Linked DNA regions of Cricetulus griseus. The protein of the gene in region 1 purifies or fractionates together with the protein of each later gene. This does not show direct contact. Links are inferred from orthologs where the notes say so. Each region holds a gene or a part of one and is shown in the gene's direction. Other genes may lie near its edges. The genes, in order: Wdr5, Max, Pdpk1, Hdac2, Ncoa6, Sesn2 and Zzz3.

The links.
Region 2: the proteins of Wdr5 (region 1) and Max purify together in Homo sapiens (affinity purification with mass spectrometry; 4 studies listed by BioGRID and IntAct, with this or other methods). This does not show direct contact. The link is inferred for Cricetulus griseus from reciprocal best matches to the Homo sapiens genes WDR5 and MAX.
Region 3: the proteins of Wdr5 (region 1) and Pdpk1 purify together in Homo sapiens (affinity purification with mass spectrometry; 4 studies listed by BioGRID and IntAct, counting the BioPlex papers as one, with this or other methods). This does not show direct contact. The link is inferred for Cricetulus griseus from reciprocal best matches to the Homo sapiens genes WDR5 and PDPK1.
Region 4: the proteins of Wdr5 (region 1) and Hdac2 purify together in Homo sapiens (affinity purification with mass spectrometry; 7 studies listed by BioGRID and IntAct, with this or other methods). This does not show direct contact. The link is inferred for Cricetulus griseus from reciprocal best matches to the Homo sapiens genes WDR5 and HDAC2.
Region 5: the proteins of Wdr5 (region 1) and Ncoa6 purify together in Homo sapiens (co-immunoprecipitation; 10 studies listed by BioGRID and IntAct, counting the BioPlex papers as one, with this or other methods). This does not show direct contact. The link is inferred for Cricetulus griseus from reciprocal best matches to the Homo sapiens genes WDR5 and NCOA6.
Region 6: the proteins of Wdr5 (region 1) and Sesn2 purify together in Homo sapiens (affinity purification with mass spectrometry; 3 studies listed by BioGRID and IntAct, counting the BioPlex papers as one, with this or other methods). This does not show direct contact. The link is inferred for Cricetulus griseus from reciprocal best matches to the Homo sapiens genes WDR5 and SESN2.
Region 7: the proteins of Wdr5 (region 1) and Zzz3 purify together in Homo sapiens (affinity purification with mass spectrometry; 5 studies listed by BioGRID and IntAct, counting the BioPlex papers as one, with this or other methods). This does not show direct contact. The link is inferred for Cricetulus griseus from reciprocal best matches to the Homo sapiens genes WDR5 and ZZZ3.

What each region holds. Positions count from the first base shown.
Region 1 is NC_048599.1:139,212,473-139,215,972, forward strand, and holds part of Wdr5 (WD repeat-containing protein 5), read left to right. Parts: intron 1-219; coding exon 220-294; intron 295-829; coding exon 830-917; intron 918-1,774; coding exon 1,775-1,875; 3' UTR 1,876-3,500.
Region 2 is NC_048598.1:126,561,541-126,565,590, forward strand, and holds the start of Max (protein max), read left to right. Parts: upstream 1-1,250; 5' UTR 1,251-1,480; coding exon 1,481-1,516; intron 1,517-2,193; coding exon 2,194-2,220; intron 2,221-4,050. UniProt on the Homo sapiens protein: Transcription regulator. Forms a sequence-specific DNA-binding protein complex with MYC or MAD which recognizes the core sequence 5'-CAC[GA]TG-3'. The MYC:MAX complex is a transcriptional activator, whereas the MAD:MAX complex is a repressor.
Region 3 is NC_048600.1:43,647,790-43,651,289, reverse strand, and holds part of Pdpk1 (3-phosphoinositide-dependent protein kinase 1), read left to right. Parts: intron 1-125; coding exon 126-168; intron 169-387; coding exon 388-525; intron 526-3,500. UniProt on the Homo sapiens protein: Serine/threonine kinase which acts as a master kinase, phosphorylating and activating a subgroup of the AGC family of protein kinases.
Region 4 is NC_048595.1:259,859,414-259,862,913, forward strand, and holds part of Hdac2 (histone deacetylase 2), read left to right. Parts: intron 1-243; coding exon 244-384; intron 385-646; coding exon 647-755; intron 756-1,346; coding exon 1,347-1,477; intron 1,478-1,873; coding exon 1,874-2,029; intron 2,030-3,312; coding exon 3,313-3,370; intron 3,371-3,500. UniProt on the Homo sapiens protein: Histone deacetylase that catalyzes the deacetylation of lysine residues on the N-terminal part of the core histones (H2A, H2B, H3 and H4).
Region 5 is NC_048599.1:24,164,141-24,168,280, forward strand, and holds the start of Ncoa6 (nuclear receptor coactivator 6), read left to right. Parts: upstream 1-1,340; 5' UTR 1,341-1,526; intron 1,527-4,140. UniProt on the Homo sapiens protein: Nuclear receptor coactivator that directly binds nuclear receptors and stimulates the transcriptional activities in a hormone-dependent fashion. Coactivates expression in an agonist- and AF2-dependent manner.
Region 6 is NC_048595.1:20,769,768-20,771,962, forward strand, and holds part of Sesn2 (sestrin-2), read left to right. Parts: intron 1-1,345; coding exon 1,346-1,490; intron 1,491-2,071; coding exon 2,072-2,158; 3' UTR 2,159-2,195. UniProt on the Homo sapiens protein: Functions as an intracellular leucine sensor that negatively regulates the mTORC1 signaling pathway through the GATOR complex. In absence of leucine, binds the GATOR subcomplex GATOR2 and prevents mTORC1 signaling.
Region 7 is NW_023276806.1:6,917,287-6,921,574, reverse strand, and holds the start of Zzz3 (ZZ-type zinc finger-containing protein 3), read left to right. Parts: upstream 1-1,488; 5' UTR 1,489-1,603; coding exon of another isoform or gene 1,604-1,626; intron 1,627-4,288.

The sequences.
Region 1 (3,500 bases):
AGCCTTCAAAAGAAGACTTAAGTCTTTTGATACACAAGTTTGGTACAATTCCCTTTAAAGATGTGGGTTTATAAATGGCTAGTCTGCCTCTGGGCTTTGCCCTTGTATGTGTCGTTCAGAATATGTTTAGGCTCTGGTCAGATGTATGTGCTCAGACCATGGAACCCTCTGGAGTGAGAGAGAAGCACAGGTGCTAACAATGCATGCCTACCTTTTCAGTGCCTGAAGACATACACTGGCCACAAGAACGAGAAGTACTGCATATTTGCCAATTTCTCTGTGACAGGTGGGAAGGTGAGTCTTTGTCTTTGTTTTTGTGTTTTGAGACAGGGTTTCTCTGTGTAGCTTTGGAGGCTGTCCTGGCACTTGCTCTGTAGACCAGGCTGGCCTTGAACTCACAGAGATCCAACTGCCTCTGCTTCCCAAGTGCTAGGATTAAAGGCGTGTGCCACCAACACCAGGCAGGGAAGGTGAGTCTTGCACTGAGCTGCTATAACCCTGCCAGCTCTCTCCTGAGAGGCCACCCATCACAGGTGCCTTCATGTCTTTGTGAAGCTTTCCTGAGCCTATGGAACAAACCCATATATGCCCTTCTGGATGGAACTGTGGTGTCTTGCACTTGAATATGGTTGAAGATCTAAGAGCAGGTGGTGACTGGATAGAAACTTAGACTCACTGAGGGGTGGCATGGGAGGCATTTGGCATGTCCCCAGGTTGGGGGAATGAGGGGTTAGAGTGATACCAGGCAGCTTGCCTATTGTTACCTACTCAGCACATAACTTCCTTCTGTCTTGCCTATCCTCACTGGCTGCCTGCTGTGCTACTGCAGTGGATCGTGTCTGGTTCTGAAGATAACCTGGTGTATATTTGGAATCTGCAGACCAAGGAGATTGTGCAGAAGTTGCAGGGTCACACAGGTGGGCAGTCATCTGGAGATGGGCCATATGGGTGGGTGGAACCACCCAGGGGAGCCTCTCAGTCCTCCAAGTGCTTGGTTGTCTTGTGATTTAGGGGCACACAGGCAGCTGTTGCTACTCTGTTTTGTCTGCCATCCTAGCCCTGCAGGCCTGAGAGGGCATGTGACTGGCTTGGAAGCAGCATCAAGGGCTCTTGTCTGGGGTTCTGGGACTGGTTGGTTATAGGTGTTGGCTCAGACCCAGGCCTTCTGGGAGTATAGCTTATTTTCCTCACTGGAGGCCAAGTATCTGGGGCCTGACAGCTGCTGGCAATGGGACCCAAAAGTGAATATGGAAAGTTTGTAACCTACATGGTGAGCTGCGTTTCCTGGAGGCTCCAGCCCCTTTGAGGGATGCTGGTTTTCCATCTCTCGGGCAGAGCTCAGCCTTGAAAGAGTCCAGTACCTGGTTCTGACAACAGTTGCCTTCATCTGGGAGTAGCTTGGTTCCTGAGCACCCAGGGAACAAGCAGAGTTAGTGGACTTCATGCCATCTCATTAATGCCAGTATCCCTGCGGCTGTATGGTTACCTCTTGCTCAGGGAGAGCAACCTCATGAATGTTGTGTTGGGTAGTAGGAGGCAGTGAGAATAGTCAGCTTGGGGCCAGTGAGGAGGGCATGTAGACAAGAATGAGGACCCTGCTGGGCACCCACCAAATTTCCTGAGCCCAGCAGACATAGGCTGTGGTGCTTGTTGCTGTTCCTGGCATTCTGAGCACTCCCCCCAAAGCCTGTGTTGCTCCCTGTACTTCTGAGGCCAGCCAGGCCTGTGCTGCCACTGCTTATCCTGGAGTAGCACCTAACTGACTCTCTTTCAGATGTTGTGATTTCCACGGCATGTCACCCGACAGAGAACATCATTGCCTCAGCAGCACTAGAGAATGACAAAACAATCAAACTGTGGAAGAGTGACTGCTAAGTCCTGGCTCCACAAGAGACTTCAGGAAACCGCCTGGATTGGCAAGAAACACACGAGGGGCAGAGGTGTGGGGCCAGACTGGGGTAACAGGTCTGGTGCACCTACTCCCTGAAGATGTCAGGTCAGGGGAGTGCACACTACCAAGTTTTTATAGCCACTGTGACATTTCTTGCCAATTCTGTCCCTGCCTGGGGAGTTCCTGGTCTGTGCTCAGAGGCAGCAAATTTTTAATTTTTTATTACAAGAGTGAGTTCAACTCATCATTTTTCCCAGTAATTGTTCTGTATCTTTTTGGTATTGTATTGCCCAGTACACACACTGGAGCAGGACCTGCAGCCCCACTCCTGTTCCCTGCCTCCAGCCTTGGCCTGCTTGTTCATGTTCCCTACCTGTAATAGTATCCAGTGTGTTTCCAGGACTTTCTGGAAACAGAAAGGTTGTAAGTTGTATCCGTGTCAAGTCCCTTTGTATTTTTGGAGTTCATAGGTCAACACTGACCTCTCAGTGGTTGCACAGTGTCCCTTTGTCTCACTGGTGTCACTCAGTAAGCTATATACACTGTAATAAAAGGTGGGCTTGACCCCTCTGTGGCCCTGAGCTCTGATAGGAGCTCATCCGCACCTGGATTTTAGAAAGTTCCCCCCAGAGCAGGGGCTGGAAACGTCTCTGGGAAGATGGGTCCTTGCTATGCCTCTTTCCCAATAGCTGCTCTGGGCACTGAGTGTTTTGAGAGGAAAACTCAGTTGAAAAAGAGTGGAAATCTTGGACAAGCATCATGTTAGGGAGGTTCTGGTCCTCCCCATTCTTCGTGAGGCTCGGGGTCACCTGTGCAGGAGGGAGGGGTTCAATATGGTGCTTGTCCCAGCAGGTACAGCCTCCTGCCTTGACCTCTAAACCCACCAGCCTCTCTTAGTCTCTGCCTCAAATGGATCCTCTGGCGTCCTGGCTTCTGCATGACCAGAACTGGGAAGAGATGATGGCCAGACTCAGAGCTGCACAGCATTTTCACAATTGCTGGCCATACCCAGGGTGGCCTGACATGGAACAGAATGCAGAGGATGGGTGGGTGAGGCTTCTGTACAGGCAGGGACAGCAGAAGGCTGCAGAGAGGTTCTGGGCTTGCTCTGGCTGCTGCAGCCTGGGTAGCCAACAAATCCATATGAAGCCAGGTCATCGAGGTCTGTGGCTGTTCTGCTTTCTTTGCTGAGGGCCTGTCCTCCGCCCATGGTACTGACAGCCATGTGTTGGCCACTCCAGCGTGACAAGATAAGAATCCTAAAAGGGGTTGGAAAAGGTAACTCCTGCAGACTCCTGTCCCCTCTCTTGGGGAGATGGTGTGCACATGGGGTTAAAGAGGGTGGCTTGTCACTGACATGTGGGTTCTGGGGCCCCTGGCATCTTTTGGATAGATGTGCCTGGGTTCTGGTCAGCGTTGTGGGCATGTTGCTGTGGGGTTTCTGGAGGGGTGTTGAGGTCCTTCCAGCTGTGGCCTGGTATGTGGGCCCCCTCCTCAGGGAGGGAGCTTGCTTGCCATGCTAAGCGCAGTATCCCCAAGTATAGTTTATTTTTTCTACAGTTGAACTCTGTTGTAGATTTATGTAAAAATACATTCTCTTTTTGAAAAT
Region 2 (4,050 bases), on another chromosome or scaffold:
CACAACCATCTGTTATGAGGTCCAGTGCCCTATTCTGATGTGCAGATATACATGGAAGCAGAATGTTGTATACGTAATAAATAAATAGATAGATAGATAGATAAAATGTAAAACAAAACAAAACAAAACAAAACTGTTTTCACTCAGGAATCAGTAACTCATAGCCCAAACCCAAGACTTCATTCATTTTGGAAACCAGTTGTAAATTAACCAGTTTGGTTAATTTCTCTGGTGATAGAAGGTGCCTTTATTATTTTTCTTTCATCAAGGAAGGACCTGGTGCACACTGAAAATGGTGGCAGGGTAGTCCGGTTTTCGCTTCCACAAGCTGTGAGATCTTTGAGGGGCCCTGTTCAGTCGTACCCATCACGGCATGCCTGTTCTGCCACATTAGATAATAAATACTGGTGGGATGTAGTCATGCTTCATACCTCGGTGTATAAATATGACTTTGGTTGGACAGGGAGCCGCACAACTTTCCCGTTTTTATTCTTTCTGCAGTTCTTAATTAAGGTTCTCCCGCACTGGGGCACTCCTTCATCTGCATGGGCTACGACAAACAGTTGGGTTTTATTTACTTCCACCTAAGCGAGATTTTGTAAACATTCAAGCCGAGTAAGGACGGTCCTCTCGGACAAATGAAAGCAAAATTCTTGGGACTAAGTGTACCCCGGCGAGGCAGGTCCTTTAGCTTGTCCTGTATCGCCTCTTAACTCCCCCAAACTAGATCCCGAGGGTCCGCGTGGGCATCCCGACCGCGCCCCCTGGCCAGCAGCAGCTTGATTCCTTCCCGTGAGGGTTACGCCCCAGGGCGCAAGTGGAGCGACTCAAGCGTTAAACAAGACAATGTAAAAGCAGTCTAGCCAAGAAGAGACAGTGTTATTTTGGCAGCTAGCTTCTCCCCCTGAGCCTCCACCCAATCCCTTGGGCCAGGCGCCCAGAGCTCAGACTGTGGCCGGCTCCAGAAGCCCAGCTCCCTCCACGTGTCCTGTCTTCCCAGCAGCCTCTCCGCCGCTTGGGGAGGAAAATCTCCTGACAACTCGCGGTCTGTGGACTACATCTCCCGGGAGGCACCGCGCCACTTCTCGCACCCACCACCGGCGCGCACGCGCCCTGCGCTCTGTCAACAAGCGGGGCTGGTGAAGATTGTGTGCGCTTCCTGATGGGATTTGTAGTTTCTCCGGCGCTCTCCGACCTGCCCATCAGACGCTCGAGGACTACAAGTCTCGGCTCTCCCGGCGCGGAGAGTCCGGTCACGTGTCAGGGGGCCGACCGGGCGTGCGTGCCGCCGTTGATCGGGTGCTGCAGTGAGGTGGTTGTCGCCCGTGTTGTGTGTGTGTGAGTGTGTGTGAGTGAGTGAGTGAGTGAGTGAGTGTGTGCGTGGGGGCACTCGGCTTGTTGTTGTCGGTGACTTCCCCCTTCCCTCCACCCCTCCCCTCCCCGGCCGCCGCTGCAGTGGCCGCTCCCTGGGCCGTAGGAAATGAGCGATAACGATGACATCGAGGTGGAGAGCGACGTGAGTCCCGGGGCTTCTTCCTTTCCGTTCGGGTTGTCAGGCGGGGACAGCGGCCGGGGCCCTCAGCGGGGCGACGGCGGGAGGGGGCCGGGTCGCCGCCGCCTCCGTCCCCTTCCCCCGGGGCCGGGACCGCCTGCGTCGCGCTCCGCGCTCGCTCCCCTCCAGTCCTGTCCGGAGAGGCCTCCTGGGACTGAAGGTGGGAGCAGACACGCGGCCTCTGGGACCCCCACCTCCTCCCGTGGAGGAGGGTGCCGAGGCCTCCCTCTCCACTCTATCCGGCTGGGGATCCCATTATCCGTCCGGATCCTGGGCAAGGAGACCAGCGCTCAGGACCTGCTTCTTGGGTCCACGATCTCCTTTTACCCGTGGACCCGTTGATCCTGGGGGTGAGGGGACTGGGAGTGAGTGCTCTGACTCCCGAGGGGGGTCCGGGGAGAGCAGTGTGCTCCGGACCCCTCTTGTCCGGTTCGGATGCCAGAAAGAGGGGCGGCGCCTGGGACCCCCACCAGGCTGCGGGATCCCGCTGGAGAGAGTGGAGGGGAAAGAGGGAGGGAGGGGTGTCGGGCTGACTCCCCACCCGCTGCTTCCTCCGCCGCCGGCATTTTCTTTCTTATTATTGAATTCGAAGTGTAAAAATAACTTCTATATTTTCTATTTTTTTTTCTCTCTTATTCCAGGAAGAGCAACCGAGGTTTCAATCTGCGGTACGTCTCCTACTCTCCATTTCATTTTCATTTCCGTTCAGTTTTGGTCCTTTTTGGAGTCAGAGAGAAAAAGTGATCGTTCTTTATTTTTTAATATTCTTGTAAACTCTCCTCTTAACCGCTAAGGTGAGGTGGAGTCAGCTGGGGTTGGAGGTGGGGGGGTGGGGGGCTGCAAATCCTATGATTCTGGCTTCTCAGGTGGTAGATCCTAGTGAGTAGGTAGGTGAGTGAGAGAGCGAGCCCCATGCTAAAACTGAGTTGTTCTGGAGTGTTCAGTTAAGGATGCAGCCCAGGCACGTGAGAAGTGAAGGGTAGTGTTATTTCAGAGCAGACTTACAGGTCAGGTTTACTTAGGAGCAAGTAAGCTTTAAGCACTATCTGCACAGTTGTGTGAAGCTGCAAGCACAGTAATAATCGCCTTTAGCCAAAGTCACATGACTGCCACCACAGACTCTTAAAACTAGAAAAGCATGCTATTCTCAACAATAGCAACAACAACAAAATAGAAACAGGGAGGAGCCAGAAGTTAAATCTTGAAAGTGTCACAGCTTCTTGTGGTCTGACTTTCCATTTGAGAAGAAAAAAAAAAAAAAAGGTTGAAAAGTGGCATTGTAGGAGACAGCTACGCTAAAAGGTGTCCGGATGAGTCCATACAGTGTTACCAGTAACTTCTTAGGGTTTTGATGTTAAAGCTTTTTGTAGGTGTCTCTCTGGTGGATTTGGGTTGACACCATGAGCTCTTGTCTTTAGAGTCTGAGACTTAGTAGTAAATGGGTATAGATTAGGGAGAGGGAAGAAGACTGAGAATACATCCAGATCAGAAGAGAGACGACAAGTGTTATATTTGATAGTTGGCAATGGTGAAAAGGGTGTACAGGGAGGGCCATAATGCCTTTGCCTGTGGGGATTAGGTAATGAGGTAGTCAAGGATAGAGGGAGAGGTAAGGACTGGGATACTGAGGAATGCATGCCCCTTGTAGAAAGTCCGAAGCCACCTAGCTCTGGTGCTTGCTGTATGAGAGTGAGCTCAGTGTTGCTAGGTCTTATTGTTATTTCAGGGCTGGGGTTAGACCCTTTACCACTGAGCCACACTCCCTCGATTTTCCTACTTTAAGAGAAATGTTAAAATGCTAGAAACAGATTATTATTTTTCCAGTGTATTTGCGTGTAGTTTTTGGCTATTCTGGGACTTGAACCCAGGGCCCTCGGCATGCCCGGGGCCTGGCTATAACCTCAGCCTACTCAATTGATTTTTTAAGGTTACATTCACTTATTTAATGTGTGTTTGTGATTGTGTGCATGCCATGGCTCACATGTAACGGTCAGAGGACAACTTGAGGGAGTGGGGTTTCTCCTTCCAGCATGTGGGTCTGGGGTTGAACTTAGGATCATCAGGTTTGGCCTCAACAACTTTACCCACGAAGCTATTTGATTTTTAAATGATATGTGGAACAGCTGTTTGGGGGCTTATAGAGAATTAGCTGGATGCAACTAGGCTTGGTTGCCCAGTCCCGTGAACGCCCTTACTCGGGATGCCGAGGTAGGAAGATCAGAAGTTCAGGCCTGTTTTCAGCAATTTATTGAGGCCCAGCCTTAACATACCAAAAAAAAAAAAAAAAAAGAGTCCACGGTTGTATCCAGTTCTGTAGGCCCAGTGCTTAGGAGGCTTTGGCAGAGGGTTGCCCTGGTTTAGAGGCTGGCCTGAGCTACAGAATGAGATTCTGTCTCAAACAAACAAGAGCTCTCTACCTTTGTCTCTCTCTCTCGCTTGGGAATTTAGCTCCTTAGGACACTTAACTTTCAGTAGGCCCTGGTTCATCCCTAGCACTG
Region 3 (3,500 bases), on another chromosome or scaffold:
ATCCAATGTAACTTTAAATGTAACTTCAAATTGTGTGTATGGATTGGGCAACCTGTGCAGAGTGACAGTGACTTACTAGACTCATCTCATTATTACACTGTGTTTTTTTTCTTTCCCCAAACCAGGTTGTTCTGGCCCGAGAACTGGCTACTTCCAGAGAATACGCTAGTAAGTACTAACTCCAGTGAGCTGTGTGTCTAGGATTCAGGGGTAGTGCCACTTTTGTACATATGGCAGGCAGTGTGGGTAGTGGTAGGGCCTATGCTGATTTCAGTCTATGATAAAGGTTAGTCTTCTAGACCATGAAAGCTTGAGTGGGTGATTTTGGGAAAGCTTCAGTTTATGTCAGTTACTTTTATAAATTTACTGTTTTTCACATTTTCTAAGTTAAAATTCTGGAGAAACGTCATATTATAAAAGAGAACAAAGTCCCGTATGTAACTAGAGAGAGAGATGTGATGTCACGCCTGGATCACCCATTCTTTGTGAAACTTTACTTTACATTTCAAGACGACGAAAAGTTGTGTATCCTTTGCATGGTCAGTGCTGTCTGAAAACTACCTTGTGTTTTAGATTAGTGACTACATTGTTTGTTCCTTGAAAGGGCACAGCATGGATTCCCCATGGGGACTGATATCCTTGGAGGCAACAGACAGTACCAGCACATGACTGAGGCTCTTGCCAGTGTGCCCTCTCCGAAGGGGAAACCATCCCACAGTGTTGGTGTTTATCGATAAATAATGTATCTAATGGAGTCTTGTTTTAGCTGTGATTGCTGGACATTGATGCAGAAATGTCCCCTCATTTCTCTAGCAAATGTTTTGGAATGTCTGTTAGGTATTATTGACTCCTGTTTTTGAAAAGTGAGGGCTTGAGAGAAAAAATGATTTTGAGCTTCCTCAAGTTTCTAGAGTTGGTATCAACTTCTCCATACCTTCTTCTGTCCTAAGGTACTGAGTTTGGTCAGAAGAACAACCTGACTGGGCATTTGAGAAGTTCAGGAACCCAGAGTGCTATCCTTTTGTAGCTCTGTCTACTGCTGGTCTTGCTCAGCCCCTCCAACTCCTTAGGGCTGTTTAAATTGCCTTTCTAGCAGATTCACTTGCATGTATGTCCATTGTTGCTGCCCACATTCCTCTTTTTCCTGTGTTTTATTTACTTATTTATTATTTCGAGACAAGGTTTCTCTGCATAGCATTTGCTGGCTGTCTTGGGACTCACTATGTAGATAAGATTGCCCTCGAGCCCACCAAGATCTCTTTGCCTCTGCCTTCTTAGTGCTGGACTAAAAGCATGCACCACCACACCCTCCATCTGCTTCCACTTTTAATGACATCCCTGGCTTCTTCTGCTAGATGCATCTGCTTGTGCTCTCCCCCTCCATTTAGAGCTTATTTACGGGGAGAGGGGCAAAATGCTGTAAGGGAAGGCTCTACCTTCTTCATGGGATTGGTTATGCTTTGGGAGAGCTTGTATTAAAAACTGTTACAGATGTTCAGGTAGTAGGATAAGTTGGAAGGACAGGTGTTGGTGTCTGGAGTGTGTGGGTCTTTGAGCCTTGTAGATGTATGAAGGCAGAAGCATGTGGGTTCCTCAGTGGGCCAGGTTTCTGAGCTGTGAAGTTCTGCTACCAATTCTGGATTTTCTCTTAGTGAGGGGTATGGAGTTTGCTCTAATTCTGGTGCCTGTGGTCCAGACTTGGGGAAAGAAAAGTTAGATGTCTACTAGTGTTTGCCTTCAGAGCCTGGTCTACACTGTCATCTGTTACTGAGCCTGGAGAGACTGGGCAGTGGCTAGATGGGAATAGGGTGTCATTTGGTGTATGTGCTGGTGCTTGTCTGAGGTCTCAGTGAGCCAGTGGGTGGCTGCTAGCAAAGCCTTCGGGGAGGTGATGTGCAGATAAGAGTTGTCAGCCAGTTGACCAGCACTCAGAAGACTCTGGGAGCCTGGAGATCAGAGGCCACAGATCACATAGTTTCTGATGAGGGGCTGCCTAGTTGCCCAGCCTGGCAACCTAGTAAGTGGCCTGTCCCTGGCCAGAGGATTAGCCCATGAACAAGTTGTTGAGAGTTGGACCGGCAGTTTCCCTGGGGCCAAAGTTTATGACAGAGGTGAGGCAGTCAGTAGAGACAGACCAAATGGGCTTTTCCCGGAGGGCTTGTTTATTTTATTTTTAAAAAACATTTATTTATTTTATTATGCTTGCAGTGTTCTGTCTGCATGTATGCCTGCAGGCCAGAAGAGGGTACCAGATCTCATTATAGATGGTTATGAGCCACCACGTGGTTGCTGGAAATTGAACTCAGGACCCCTGGAAGACCAGCTAGTTCTTAACCACTGAGCCATCTCTCCAGCTCCTATTTTTTAAATAGGAAGGTCCAGTAGGTTCCAGGAGAACAAATGTGTTGATGATGGTGGTCTTTAGAGTAAGTAGAGCTTACTGTTTCCCACTATCATCCCTTGTCCCCCACAGTCATCAGTGGCCTCTTTATATTTCATTACATATCTCTCTGAACCTACCTTAATTCCACTTTCATGTTCCCTGTGCATGAAAGTACCCCCTTTTGAGTCCATGGAAGTCCAGGCTCAGGCCTGAGCTTTTCTGCCAGTCCTTAGCACAGTGCTTTTTGTTGGACTTGAAGCTCTGTTACTAGTCAGCTTTGTGTCACTGCAACAAAATGTCTGGGGCAGCTAGTTCTTTAAAGGGAAGAGATTTGTTTAGTTCACAGGTCACAGAAGGCTGAGTGTCCAAATGGCGTGCATGGTGCTGTAGTCTTATGGTATATAGTAGATGGTGGATCATGTATGAAGGAAGGATCATTTAAGGCAGGAGGCAGAGTACGTAGGTGTAGTTGGACTTACTACTTTCATGGAAATCCCCCCCTCTTAAAATTAATTATTTATTTACTTAAATTTTGGGGACAGGGTTTCTTTGTGTTGCCAGGGTTAAAGGTATATACCACCACCTCCCGGCTATGACACTCTTTGAAGAATTTCCAATTACTAGTGAGTCTCAGGAGCCCAGTGATCCAAAGACATGCTGCTGCTTAAAGATCCCCTGACCCCATAGTCCTACCACCTGGAGACCAAGCCTCTAGTCACATGCACCCTCGAGGAGACACCAGATTGTATCAAGACTGTGGATAGCCAAGACAGAATTACACATGCTTGACTTCATCTTCTGTCAGGGTCACAGTGGTAGAATCATAGCTCAGAAGCCAGACCAGAGTGTCCTTACTATGTGATTTCTAAATGAGACTGGCCATGTCAGTTCAGGTGGAAAGAACTCTAGGTCTTTGTTTAATGGCACATACTGTTCTTGGTCTAAGATCCAGAAGGTCTTAATGGCTCACCTACCTCCCATGAGAATGAGATCCAGTGGCTTTTGCCTCACTGGGAATCCTCACTATACATTGCATTGAGAAAGAAAAATGAAACTTTTTGCATGAAGAAATGCCCAGATATGACACTGTCCTTTATTTAGTCATAGTTTCAAGTGT
Region 4 (3,500 bases), on another chromosome or scaffold:
GAGCTGGAACTTGTGGCCATCACCACTTCTTGTATGAGTGCATTCTCCCTCTTATACAGTTACATTAGCCTATTTTGAGACTAGTCCTGTGAATCTTGATCCGTACATCCACAGAGCATAGCCACCATCCTGGTACCAGGCAAAAGTCACTCAAAGGGATTTTTTTTTTTTTTTAATTAAGGCTAAAGACAATAAAGAGTGGGGGAAATTACTCTTTAACAAGCATGAATTTCTTGGTCTTAGGTCATGCTAAATGTGTAGAAGTAGTAAAAACTTTCAACTTGCCATTGCTGATGCTTGGTGGAGGTGGCTATACAATCCGAAACGTTGCTCGGTGTTGGACATATGAGACTGCAGTTGCCCTGGATTGTGAAATTCCTAATGGTAAGTGTTGAAGTTGTGGTATCTACTAGAACATCTGATGTGCAGAAATAAATGAATGGGACATTGCAGCCAGAGGCCTGGAACGTGCAATCTTACTGATGAATAAATGATTAGATTGCAAGTCTATGAGGGTATTCCCTGTGTTTTCACTTCCAAGCCTTCCTTCGGGAGTATTTCTCTATCGGGATCTGGATTAGTGTTTGTTAGCTTCTATGGAAACTAAGCTTTCAGTATGTAACTTGTTTTTCATTGTTTTTAATAGAGTTGCCATATAATGATTACTTTGAGTATTTTGGACCGGATTTCAAACTGCATATTAGTCCTTCAAACATGACAAACCAGAACACTCCAGAATATATGGAAAAGATAAAGTAAGAACTCATCTCATGTTAATGCAAGTTTAGAAGGCTACATAAGGTCATATAGAGAATGCTATTTTAGCTGTATGCATCAGATATTTCCTTGGTTTTTAAAGGATTTGAAACTTTAAGAATACTAATATTTTAATCTACTATATCAACACAAATGCAGAACCTTTGTAAACAAACATTTTTATTCAAGTGCAATTTTAAATTGCCAAGGGCACTAAATTTTACCCTTTCTTGCTTTCCCTTAAAATGGTGCTTTGTTTGCATTATCTGAAACGGTTTATTAAAGCTTTATCTCTACAGAATGTAGAGACACGTCGGTATGGGTTGTGATCATCTTTACTGTAGACTAGCTGTGTGATATTGGGCAAGTACACTTGTTGCCTCATCATTAAATGGGGAATGAATTAGTTAGTGCCCACCTCTTTATCTGTGGATTCAATTAGTATGTGCAAAGAATTCCTGTTTAAATGTTGTTTTGTTCAGTAAGTAGTTAACTAAATGAAAGATGATGTTGTTTTGTTTAATGTTTCTACCTGTGGATCACAGGAACTTTACATAAAGTGGTTTTGTCTAATAAATTGTGTTATTTAGACAGCGTTTATTTGAAAATCTTCGAATGTTGCCACATGCACCTGGCGTTCAAATGCAAGCGATTCCAGAAGATGCTGTTCATGAAGAGAGCGGGGATGAGGATGGAGAAGATCCGGACAAGCGGATTTCGAGTAAGAAGCCCTTGCTCTGTATTCTTGCTTTTCTCTGGTTCATCAAAATAAGACTTGAAACTGAAGGCAGTGCACAGGCGTGTTTCACCTAGCACGTGTGGTGATTGTCCTTTCCTCCATTTAATTGCATGTAGATTTATTTAGCTTCCTGATGTCTCAAAGCCTGAAGTAATAATACCAGTCTTATTGTGTGTGAGTACACAGATATGGCTAAGTCCAGAAACTTAAGTATTCCGTTTCCTCAGTGGGCTGAGTTGAATGTGGTAACTGCTTATATATGTATTGATGTATGTAATGATTGTTGAATCTGGCTATTGTCAAATTTATTTATTTATTTGTGTGTGTGTGTGTGTGTGTGTGTGTGTGTGTGTGTGTGTGTGTGTGTGTGTGTATCAGTTCGTGCATCAGACAAGCGGATAGCTTGTGATGAAGAATTCTCAGATTCTGAGGATGAAGGCGAAGGAGGTCGTCGGAATGTTGCTGATCATAAGAAAGGAGCAAAGAAAGCTAGGATTGAAGAGGACAAGAAGGAGACAGAGGACAAAAAGACAGGTCAGTTTGTGGTTTGGTGAAAATTTCATTGTCACTGTTACTGCTTAAGAGTTGCACTGTAGCTTTTAGAAGCTCCCATAGTCACACAAGGGTCAGGGCTCGAGCTGTCATGAGGTACCTTTCCCTTGAGTAAATGATGCTTGCCTCTGAAGCTTGTCGTTTAATGTTTTCAGAATTCTTTTCAAGCGTTTTCAAGTGTATGTGCTCGCATTGTCTTTGTGATAGAGAAACTTCATCTCCTTGATAACACAGACAAAGAAAAAAGAGGATCCATTACATGTCGTGGGATGGGGAAAAGGAAACAACAGAGCAGTCACAAACATTGCTCCAAACTATTTAACGTTGTCTTAGTGAAGCAAAAGTTAAGTTCATTGTCCTTTGAAAAGTTGCTTTAAACATGAAGGCTCTTCAGGAACTAAAGAAACTAAAACAGGAACAGTAGGAAGGGGCTTAGGTGCGGGCTATGGAGGACAGTTTCTGCTGTCTTCATGCATTTCAGAATGTAGCGTGCACGCCATTGTGGCACCTCCCTAGAGGGTTCACATCTCTGGTTGCTGTGCTGCCATAGGCAGAGGTAAGGAATGGGAAGTAGCCTGTTGAGCATTTGTTTCCTCATACTAACAATGATAATGAATGCAAGTGGTAGTTAACCTGTTAATCATCCGAGGCAGCCTCACCATGTAGGTCTGGCTGGTCTGGTTATTTAACTTGCTGCCACCCTCATGATGTGACCCCTGGGATCTAATGTGGGAGGAAGATAGTGACTTCTACAAGCTGTCTCCTGCCCCCTGTGGATGCCATGCACACCCTGTAAATAAATACTTTAAAACAGTGAGTTCGCTTCTGCTTGCTTTTAGGATCATGTGTCTTACAGCAGACACACTCATCTTCGGCTCCTGTCTTACCACTGCCTCTGCCTCATAGTCCTTTTAAGTTTTTCTCCAGCACACACTGTTCACTCTTACCCACTGAGAGTGTGTTTATGCCTTGGGACCCCAAGTGTCCTTCCTCTGACAGACCGCTTTCCTGACCTGTGCTCTACGCTGGTTGGAAGTTCTTCACGGTACCTGCAGTACCGTGATGCTTCAGAACTGGAAGTTAAAGAGGGTGCAAGCATATGGGCATGCTGACAGTGAGCCCCTGCATCTCTCACTCAGAGCCTAAGGACACTTTCTAGTGACAATTCAGGAGCAGTGAGTTTAGTGTAGCTTCTTATAATTTAAGATAAGGCGTATATATTTCATATTTCAAAATAGGTTTTAATCTTTTCCTTCTGTCTTTAGATGTTAAGGAAGAAGACAAATCCAAGGACAGTAGTGGTGAAAAAACAGATTCCAAAGGGTGAGTGGTGCTTCTCACCTCAGAGACTAACAGTCATACATGTGTTTGGGGAAGCCGTGTATACTTGACATACTGGACTAACCCAAGAACGTGGAACATTGTACTCCAAGAGAGAAATCTTCTGAATGGG
Region 5 (4,140 bases), about 120 Mb from region 1:
AGCTTCTGAGGGAACTCAGCTTGTCAGCCTTGATAAACAAGTGCATTTATCTATTAACCAATCTTGCCTGCCTGGGTTTTTTTAATTAAAAAAAATGATTTTAGGGACTGGAGAGGTGACTCAGTAGTTAAGAGCACTGGCCACTCTTCCAGAGGACCCAGGGATTCCCAGAACCCAGATGACAGCTCACAACTCTCTGTAACTCCAATTCCAAGGGACCCAACACCTCTTCTGACCTCCACAGGCCTCAGGCACAAGTGTGTGGTGCACATATATACACGTGTGGAGAACATATGTACATATGTGCTACATACACACACACACACACACACACAGGCAAAAACACTCACATAAAAATAAATAGATCTTTAAAATAATTATTAATAGGTTTCATCATGAGATTTTCATACATGCGTATCACGCTTATAGTTACTTCGCATTACCTCTCCCATCCCTTCTGCCCTCAAATAGTTCTCACTCTGCAGCTTTTATCACACACACACACACACACACACACACACACACACACACCCCTAGATTCTGTCGAATCATTTTTAGTAAGAGAGTGGCACGCTCAGAATTCTGACGGAGGAATATTACTAGCAAGAAAAATAGTGGCGCACGCTGGCGGTGCTGGTAAGGGTGGTACCCATACCAGTCTATGTGCACAGTGTGCACTCAATAAATACCCGTGGAAAGAAAGCGTTTCAGAGTCCTCTCTTAGATGAGACACTATAACTGAGCCGTTAAGAATCCACCTGCCCCAACCGTCCTTACAGAGGAAGAAGCTGAGACACAGAGGTAAAGAAAATCATGAAGCTAAGGGGTGGGAACTGATTTAAGTGACTCTGGGCTCAGCCCAGTGCTAAGAACACTTCCCTGCTTTGGGAAGAGAGGAAGCCAGAGGCCCGCCTCCACCTGTTCACTCACCAGTTCTATTTTGTGAGCACCTACCGTGTTTGTTAGGGTGGTGGGACGAAGTGGGGGGGGGGGAGATAGAATAAAGGTTATCTTTATCGTCAGTCATTAGACGCTTTCCAAGCCTTTCCCTCATTTCCTCTGCGCAAGGAAATACTATCATCCCCATAGCTGGGGAGAGCACACTGAGGCGTGGAGCGTTACGCAGCACACACAGCCAGCCGCTGGGACAGCGCTGAACATGCACGCAGACCAAGATCGCACCCAGCACCTCGGCTCACATGCTCGCTAGCAATCGAGCTCGCGCGCTCCACCTTGCGCGCCAGGGGACGCCCGGTCACGTGGGCAGGGCCCCGCCCCTCGGGCCCGCCCCGCCCCGCCGCGCTCCCTCCCTCTCTCCTTCCTCCCTCCCTCCCCGGCCCGGTCCGGCCCATCCCCCCTCCCCACCGGCTCCCTGAGGCCTGCCGGGTCGGGCTGCGGCGGCCGGGCGCCGACGGCCGGACGGACGGGCGCACGCGAGGACCGGCGGACGGACGCGCCGAGGGCGCCGGGCACGCACGGCCCGGGCCGGCGCTGCGAGGCCCGCCCGGGGCCGGGGCCGCGCTCAGGTGAGGCGACGGCGACGCTGGCCCGTAAGGGGTGGGCCTGCTGAGCGTCCCGGGCCCGGCCCGGCAGGCTTCGTGGGGAGGAGGCCCGCCCGGGCCTGGCGCGCGAAGATGGCGCCGGGCGGCCGTGCAGCTCGGCCCGAGTGCGGCCCGGGCCCGCAGCCGCCCCACCCGCCGCCGCGCTCGTGTCCCCGTCGCCATGTTGGGGAGCGGGCCCGGGGCCTGCGGCGGGCGCGGCGGGAGCGGCGGCGGCGGTGGGGAGTGCGGGTCGGGGCCCGCGGAGTGCAGGCGGCCGGGGTTGCGCGGGCGGCGCTGCGGCCCAGGAGCCGGCTATACCGCGGGCGTGAGGTCCGGGCTGGGGGCGCGGAGAAAAAGACCCCGGGAGCGGACGGGACCGGGGTTGGGGGCGGGGCCGAGGGGGCGGCGGGCCGAGGGGGTGCCGGGCGGTGGAGTTGGGTTAGGCCGTGCGCTGTGAACCGAGCCCCAGAGCAGCAGCCAGGGGTAGGGGAGGCAGCTTGGGGGCCGAGTCCTGGCTGTCAGGGCTGGAGTTGTTCTTTGCGTGCGCTGGAGGAGATTGCTTAGGAATGGGGGTTGCGAACTCGGGGATCAGAGTGGGTCACCGACGCGGGAATCAGCCTGGAAGGGTCCTGGCACTGAATGGCCAGTCTTTATGACTCCCAAGGGTCTCGGGACCTGTGAGCCCTGAGGAGCCTCCAGTCCCGTTGGAGGCAGCAACAGGAAAAGGGAAGAGCTTGATGAGGAAAGAAAGGGTGCCAGGCAGGGGCTGGATGTAGGAGCTGGACAGCAAAAGGTACAGAGTGGAACTGGTAGGAAAGGAGAGAACCTCCATCAACTTAAGGAGTTGTCTTTAAAAGGAGGGACCCGGCTGTTTGGGGGCGGTGACCCAAAGTGTGTTTCCTGGAAGGGGACAGCCGCTGCTTAAAGAGCAGGGTCACCTGGGGAGGTCGTCTGAAAGGTCTTGTTGAAACTAGTCAGAATCGTGAAGAAGGAAAGGACATGTAATAACTACGGTGGCTTTACAGAGATCATGCCATGGTTTCAAATCAAGTAGTGATTTTAGCCAAGGTAATTGATTTCCTAAGATAGTTTGTGTCGGTGACAGAGGCTCCTGGATATGGACTAAGGCTTCCTCATTCAGTTGCTAAGTCAAACTCCATTAAATTATCAGAGTCATTAATTTTTGTTTTAACAAGTTTGTCAGTACAAAGCCTGAGTGGGATACAAAAATGTATAATCAATTATTGGATATTTCCTAGATCTCCATTGATACAAAAAAAAAAGCATCAAGAAAGAACCTCTTTCTAGAGTTTAAAAAAATGTTCCCCCTCGTCTGGATGTTTATTGCACAGCAAAAGAACACAAAAAGCTTAAAAGGGGAAAAAAGGATAATGATAGAGACCTAGGGTCCCCATCATATTCACTTTAATTGAATTTCTGTTATAAATAGGCAATTGAGAGTTCAAATGGACTATGAGATAAATCAGCCAGTGATATATAGTTGACTTTTAATGTCCCTGAGTTTTGCATCTACAGCTTCAACCAATCACCGATTAGAAACATTCATAAAACAAAAAATTGAAACTGTGCTAAACATACAGGGTTTTTTCCTTGTCACTGTTATTTTTTCTTGTTATTATTATTCCCTAAACTAGACAGCTTAACAACTGTTTACATGACATTTACATTTTATTGGCTATTACAGGTAGACAGGATACACAAATATTGTATCACTTTATATAATGATTTTGATATCCTAGGAGGTCCTAGAATCCATTGCCCATGGATATACCAAGGAATGACAGACAATACAAAACTCCACATAATTAAAAAACAAAACAAACTTAGAAGCCAGGCACGGTGGTTCACATCTATATCTCAACACATAGGAGACTGAGGCAGGAGAGTCTGGGCTATAGAGTAAAGGCCCTGCCTCCAGAGGAAAAAAAATAGACTTTCAGGTGTTGGCATTGTAGTTAAATGGTAGAGTGTTTGCCTAGCATACAACATAAGGGCCTTGGTTTTATTCCCAGCACAAAAGGGATGGAGTTTAATCAAAAGAATTTTATAAGGATTTTCAAAACCACATGTATATTCAGTACCAATTTTTCTGAGTCTTTCTAATGCAGAGATCTGATCTTATGTGTGCCATGGTCCCTGTAGCATGGATCTCTCAAAATAATATTTTTAATTGTATAAAGTAAATGACATTGATTACAAAGGAAACTAGTTACATTCAAATAGTTACTAAGTATAAAAATTGTTTATGCTGAAGTATCTGTACACCTATTTGTGAATGTGGTGGTAGGGATTGAACTCAGGGTCTTGCTCAATCTAGGTAAGCCTGCAATACTGAACTATTCCCCCCTTGCAGAGTGTGTGTGTGTGTGTGTGTGTGTGTGTGTGTGTGTGTGTGGAGGAGGTGGAGGAGTAGTACTTATCGAGTTTGTGCATATGCATGGGGAGACCAGAGGTTGACTTTGGTGTCTTCCTTGATTGTTTCTCTACCTTATTATTTTTTTACCTTGACATTTTATTTTCTGTAGTTATTTGTGTGTGGGGCCATGTGTGTGGAATCTGAGGACAACTTGTGGGGATC
Region 6 (2,195 bases), on another chromosome or scaffold:
CTTATAAACATTATTCGCACTGACTAGTCTCATACACGAGTTCTCATTGATGAATCCTCGAAATAAAATGGTTTATCTAAGATATATAAAAAACTCTATTTATTCATTTATTTTTAAGGTAGGGTTTCACAACAGTCCAGATTGACCATGAACTCACAGCAGCCTATCTATTTCAGTCTTTCGTGTGCTGGGATAGGCTTTTGCCTTTGAGGGATGGGGGGGTGTTCCTGAGACCAGGTTTTTCTGTGGCTTTCGAGGCTGTCCTGGAACTAGCTCTTGTAGACCAGGCTGGTCTCAAACTCACAGAGATCCGCCTGCCTCTGCCTCCCGAGTGCTGGGACTAAAGGTGTGCGCCACCACCGCCTGCCCCGGCTTTCCTTTCTTTGTTGACTTGTTTTTTACTAATACCTGTAATTCCAGTACTGGGAAGGCAAAAACAGGAGGATCAGTTAGGTGTTCAAGGTCATCCTTCACTATATAACAAGTTCACCAGCTAGACTACAGGACTCTAAAAAATTAAAAAAACAAAAAACAAACAAACAAACAAACCACCAAAACTGCTGGGCAGTGGTGATGCACGCCCCGATTCTAGCACTTGGGAGGCAGAAGCAGGCAGATCTCTGGGAGTTCCAAGGCCCGCCTGGTCTACACAGTCAAAACCTTGTCGCAACAAAAAAAACAAAAACAAAAAAAACAAGAAGACCAAAAAACCCACCAAAATTGTGCAGGAGGTCACCTTATTTTATTGTATTCAGGTGTTTCCTTCCTGGTTTTCCCTATGCACATGCATAACTACACTGAGGAGAGACAAGCGGCTTCTAAACTCATTGCCAACTTGCTGTTGGATTTTGAAGCAGTTAATTGCCTTCTCTAGCTAGACCTTAGCTTGCCTGTCTGGTTTTAGCTGTGTCTCCTTTTTCCCACCACTGCTTCGTTCTCCAGGATCACCACTGACCTTCCTGTCACAGTGAGTGTAGGAGAGCTGGATTTGAAGTCATTCCCTGCTGTGGAGGGAATGCCTTCTTTGAATCTCAGTAAAATGAAATTGATGAACACAGTATATTGAATATGACAGAGTATGTAATTTGTAGGATTGTCACCGGCTCAGTCAGAATTCAATAGTGCGTGCTCATTGTTAGTGTTACTTAGAGTAGTCCTCTGTGAGCCTGGTAACCTATGACGCATGATGTCAGCTGTTTTCCGAGAGGAACCAGGCTTCTGATTGCTTCTTACCTTCTGGCTTTTCTGGCCACTCTCTGTTCCTCCTTCTGTAGGGTGGGGTGAGTGGGCCACTCTGCTTGTGAGATCAGGGCTTGAGTAACGCTGCCCGGGTCTTTTCCATCAGATACGATGACTACGACTATGGGGAGGTAAACCAACTCCTGGAAAGGAACCTCAAAATTTACATCAAGACCGTGGCCTGCTACCCAGAGAAGACAACCCGCAGGATGTACCACCTCTTCTGGAGGCACTTCCGCCACTCAGAGAAGGTAACAGCCATGTGGATGTGAAAAACAGCCAAGCCAGGCCTGTAGAAGAGCTAGAGAGTAGGACCCAGTGAGGATCACAGTGGGAACCTGGGCCTGTTGTCCTTGGTTAAATCCTATTCCACTGTGTGATTTCAGACTTCATTCAAATAAGGCACCTGGGGGCCTGTTCCCACAGACTTTGAGTGGCAGTTTGGCAGGCATAGGTTCAAATCAGTTTCTCTCACATAGGAGCACTGTGCCTTTGGACATGTGACTTTGCGTCTTTGAGCTTTTCCCCTTTATAATGAGAAGAGACACTGCCTGGGCTTCAAAGCTGGGAAGGCACAATGAGACTATATATGGAAGCATTTGATCCTTCACTGCAGCCAGCTAATGGTAGCTCTTTCAGACTTGGGAGATAAGGTACTTAGTCACGACAGGGGGCTTCCTCAGCAGTCACTGCACCAGATTGCACAGAGCCTTCTTAGCACAGGTCGGGGCATCTCGGTGGGAGGCGTGGGTGAGGTGAGTGCCCAGGGAACTGGTAGACTGGGAGGGAGGGCTGCAGAGCAGTTGTGAGCAAGCCTCTTTCTGTGCCCCAGGTTCACGTGAACTTGTTGCTCCTGGAGGCCCGGATGCAAGCAGCCCTGCTCTATGCCCTCCGTGCCATCACCCGCTACATGACCTGACTCCCTCCCACGCAGGACCAGCACCCGGAGCAGCCAA
Region 7 (4,288 bases), on another chromosome or scaffold:
AAACCAACAAAAAGAGCAGCAGGCATGATTATTTGTGCACTCCTGTAATCCCAGCCTTTGGTAGTTCAAGTTCAGCAGCATAGGGAAGTTTGAGGTCAGTCTGGGCTACTGGAAACCCTATCTCAAAGCCACAGGCTAGGTATGCTGGCTCACATGGGTAAGTCTAGCACTCAGGAGTCAGAGACAGGTGGATTTCTGTGAGTTAGATTAGCCTGGGCTACATAGGGAGACCCTGTCTCAACAAAACAAAAACCAGCAAAATACTATAGCATTTACAGTGACAAAAAAAATCTTACGTGCATTAAAATAAGTATAGCAGGCATTGAATCATTGTAATACTTACTTAGATTCTGTTGGCTATACCTAAGTAGGCAGCACATCACCTTTAACAGTAATCTGTTCATTTTTTACTAGATAGAATGCTGGGTTAAAGAGTTGATGATTACACCAGCCCTTAATTTATAATACCCCACTTAAATAGTATCCATTTAAAAATACCTAGTTTAATGCTTAGAAAAAAGGAGCAAGGTTAATGATAAGCGTCTGCTTGTCTTTCTTGTAGTGCTGTTATTGCAGATGGCCACTCCTAATAACCCAGGTAGCTAGAGTATATAGTTTCCAAAAAAGATGCCATACCATGCTGGTAAAACTGCAGTTAGCTATAAACATGCCAAGAATTAGCATGTAATTAAGTTAATTAAAATACCAGACTGAGTATTTAGCTCCGAAAACATTATTGATTCTTTGTGGATTTCACATCACACATATGAATCCCATTCATCTCACTATTGCTTTTTTCTCGTTGAGAGTCTATATGGCTGGGCGTGGTAGTGCACACCTTTAATCCCCTCGCTTGGAAGGTCACTGAGTTTAAAGTCAGCTTGATTATACAGTTAGTTCTAGGACAGCCAGGGCTGCGTAGGGAGACCTTGTCTCAAAAACAAAAAACCACGAAGGGGGTGGGTGGAGAGGAGAGAGACAGAGAGGGAGGGAGGAGGAGGAAAAAAAAATACATGTGGCAGAAAGCACCAGAAGCTTCAAGGGCAGCTGAGTCTTCAGTGTGTCATGTGTGCTGTGATACAGAGGAGTTAAGCTGTGTGCTTAGTCTGCTGGTTGTTGTTAGGCCCTAGGTTTTGTACTCAGTTTTAAATCTAGGAAATCCTTCAGAAATCCTCTAGGTCATCTTTAAGCCAGGGAGGGGCTGGGGGACTTAGATTACAGCAAGTTGCAAGAAAGGGCTGAGTCATGTTTTACTCAAGTTAATAACTGAGTTGTTTGTAAGGATTTGTTATATTTCAAGTTTCTTCATTTCTGTCCTGGTTGCTTAGTGCCCCTGAGACCACTTAGCAGGAAGCACCAAAACATCCCTGTGAAGACACTGTGTGCTTCTGTAATCAGAGTAAATTACTAGCTGAGTTAATTTCCTTATTTAATATTTTTTTTTGTTGTTGTTTTTGTTTTTTTGTTTTTACCATTTTAAAGAGAGGCGGTTAAGAGTTTCTATAGTCTCCGAGGCTGAAGCTGAGAGCCTGAAGCTTAAGCTCTGTTGTAGATCATAGCTTCATCTCCTTGCGGATATAAGAAAAGAAAGACTATTTCCACAATGATAGATCTCTGGTTACACAGGTAAGTTACTCAACTGTGCAGCAGAGATGACAACGGTAGTTTGATTTTGTTTACTTGGGTGGGAGGAGACATGTTATTTTCCGTCTTTCTTCTTCTGCCTTGCTGTTTTATGGTGATCTCAAGCTGTAGGAGATGGGCTGAAGATTAAATACGTTTCCATTTCTTTCTTCTCAACAAATGGATGAAGGAAATGACTGTTGGTATCTTTAGACCATTAAACCTGTCTTTGCCTTAAACGTGTTTAAGGGGCATGTGACCCCTCTTTCACTTCTTCTCAGTTGTCTTCAGTGTGCATTCATTTGAATCTGTCCTGTCTGTCTTTCTATATAGCTCTCTGTCTGTTTGTCAGTCATCTCTTGTATCTCTCTTGATGACAAAGGAGATCCTTTACATATAACTGCATGATAGAATTCTAGACTTCTGATCTGGGACTGTTAACCTTTCAATAATCCAGTGGATAAGGTCAGGCGTTGTTCTGTTACACTAGATTGATAATTGTACAGTTGAAATAATCTGTCTTTTAAAAGAGTTGTATGACTAGCTGTGTGACAATGCGCACCTGTAATCCCACCATCAGGGATGCGGGAGAGAGTTTTAGGGCCAGGCCATCCAGGGCTGCATAGTAAGACCCTGTCTCAAAAGACATCTCAGAGACTTGTATGATAAACTAAGCCTGAGCACAGCTTATGCTATAGACAGGTAGGAAAGTCATATTGGTGACACCTCTCAGTTACTCTGACATGGTTTTGCCTTTGATTTTGGTCTTTACACCTGAAAATATATGGGTATTGTGACCAGTTTTCTTGAAGCTGTTCACTTAGTAAAACTGATACGATGATAATAATACTGGTGTTAGTCAGGCGTTGGTGGTGCACACCTTTAATCCTAGCACTTGGGAGGCAGAGGCAGGAGGATCTCTGTGAGTTCAACATCAGCCTGGTCTACAGAGCACATTCCAGGACAGGCTTCAAAGCTACACAGAGAAACCCTGTCTCCCCCTCCCCCCCAACAACAAAAAACGGTGTTAGCTGAGCATGGTGGCGCATGCCTTTAATCCCAGCACTCCAGAGGCAGAGGCAGGATCTCTGTGAGCAGGAGGCCAGCCTGGTCTACATAGTGAGTTCCAGGGCTACATATCAAGACTCTGTCTCAAAAATACAAAACAAAAACCCCAAAATATAAAAATAATATAATACTGATATTAGTTACCAACTCCTCAATTCCTAAAGTAAACTGGGACACTTTTGGTGAGTAGAAAAGGAGCCAGAGATTACAGGTACTGGATTAGAGATAGCCTTTGAGTAAAAATGCAGCGGCATCGTGCATTGTTTCTAGTGGGTGGGCCTTTGTCTGTCCTGTTTCTTTTGGTTCTGATTGAGTTGTGTGGGTGTGGTCACGGGTTAGAGGTTTATGATAATGTTTCAGGACTTTACAGGTTTATAAAGGTAGATTCCAGTTTAGGGGAAGGTGGTTCAGTGGAAGGGCTGATAAGAGTTTGGATGTATGGATTGAGGGCAGCTTGGGAACTCTGTGGACAAGCTGAAGAAGTTTGGTTGGTTGGCCCTTTTCATTCTGTAAGAAGACTTAGGAGGATGGAGAATGCAGGACAAAGTGTGCTTAATTCTAGTGAGGTTCATACTCTCACTGTCCCCCAGAAACACTGCTGCTCAGTAATTGGTGGGTAGCATAGGACAGCATCAGTCTCATTACTAAAATGTGAACTCAGGGTTTCCCTTAATTCTAAGTGTCTTTTACCAAATGGGTGTGGCTAAGGCTGTCACCAGTTGTCTCTTATTTTAGTTTATCAGTAAAGGTATCCTGGGCTAGTTGGCAAATAAATGGGTTCCATTCTATTGCCGTAACTACTTCATGTTTGGCAAGCATACAATTATATGCCCAAACCTCACTGGATTTTTTAGTGACTTTGTATTTAGTTAAAATGAAGAAAATAACAGCTTTAGTTTGTACTTCTTTGCTAAATAAATAAGCTTGGTACAACAATATTGAAATTTGGTTGGAATAATGTAGACATACTTCATTAAAAGTCCCTTATTGATGAATGGCTTTATATTCAGTTTATCTTATATAATTGTTAAACATACGTATACTTCATGTATGCTTATGCAAAAATAGGAAAAAGGAAGAAAATACGTAACAAAGATTTGTTGTACTTGGCCTTCATACTTTGATTAGGTTTTTACTTTACGTGTATTAAGATAATTTTATAAACTGCTGTTTGGTGCTTCTTTAGCCGAAGTGATCATGATCTGATTTATAATGTGTTGTTTTAATCATTATGATTTAATAAAATATTAAGGAGAATTATGTATCTAATTTGGTTTGCAACTTGGTGATTGAATTATTAGGCCACTGCCTTGAGTGCAGAGATACCAGCGTTTCCCAGACGCCAGCATGGATGAATGGGTTGCATAGGGCCTTATACTCTGCAGTTCTTTCTTCCTTCTTGTCTTTTTCCCCTTCCGTTCTAAGTGTCAAAACACAGACCTGGGTTTCTAGCAAGCTCAGGATGTGGGCTCTCAGGCCATGCAAGTTACAACAGATTGAAATACCAGGAAACACTTGCTGTAAAATGTGCTCCTTGTTAGTCTTCCAGCATGTCTACAGTTTTAGTCCTTTCCCAATGATCACAGCCCAGTAGTTG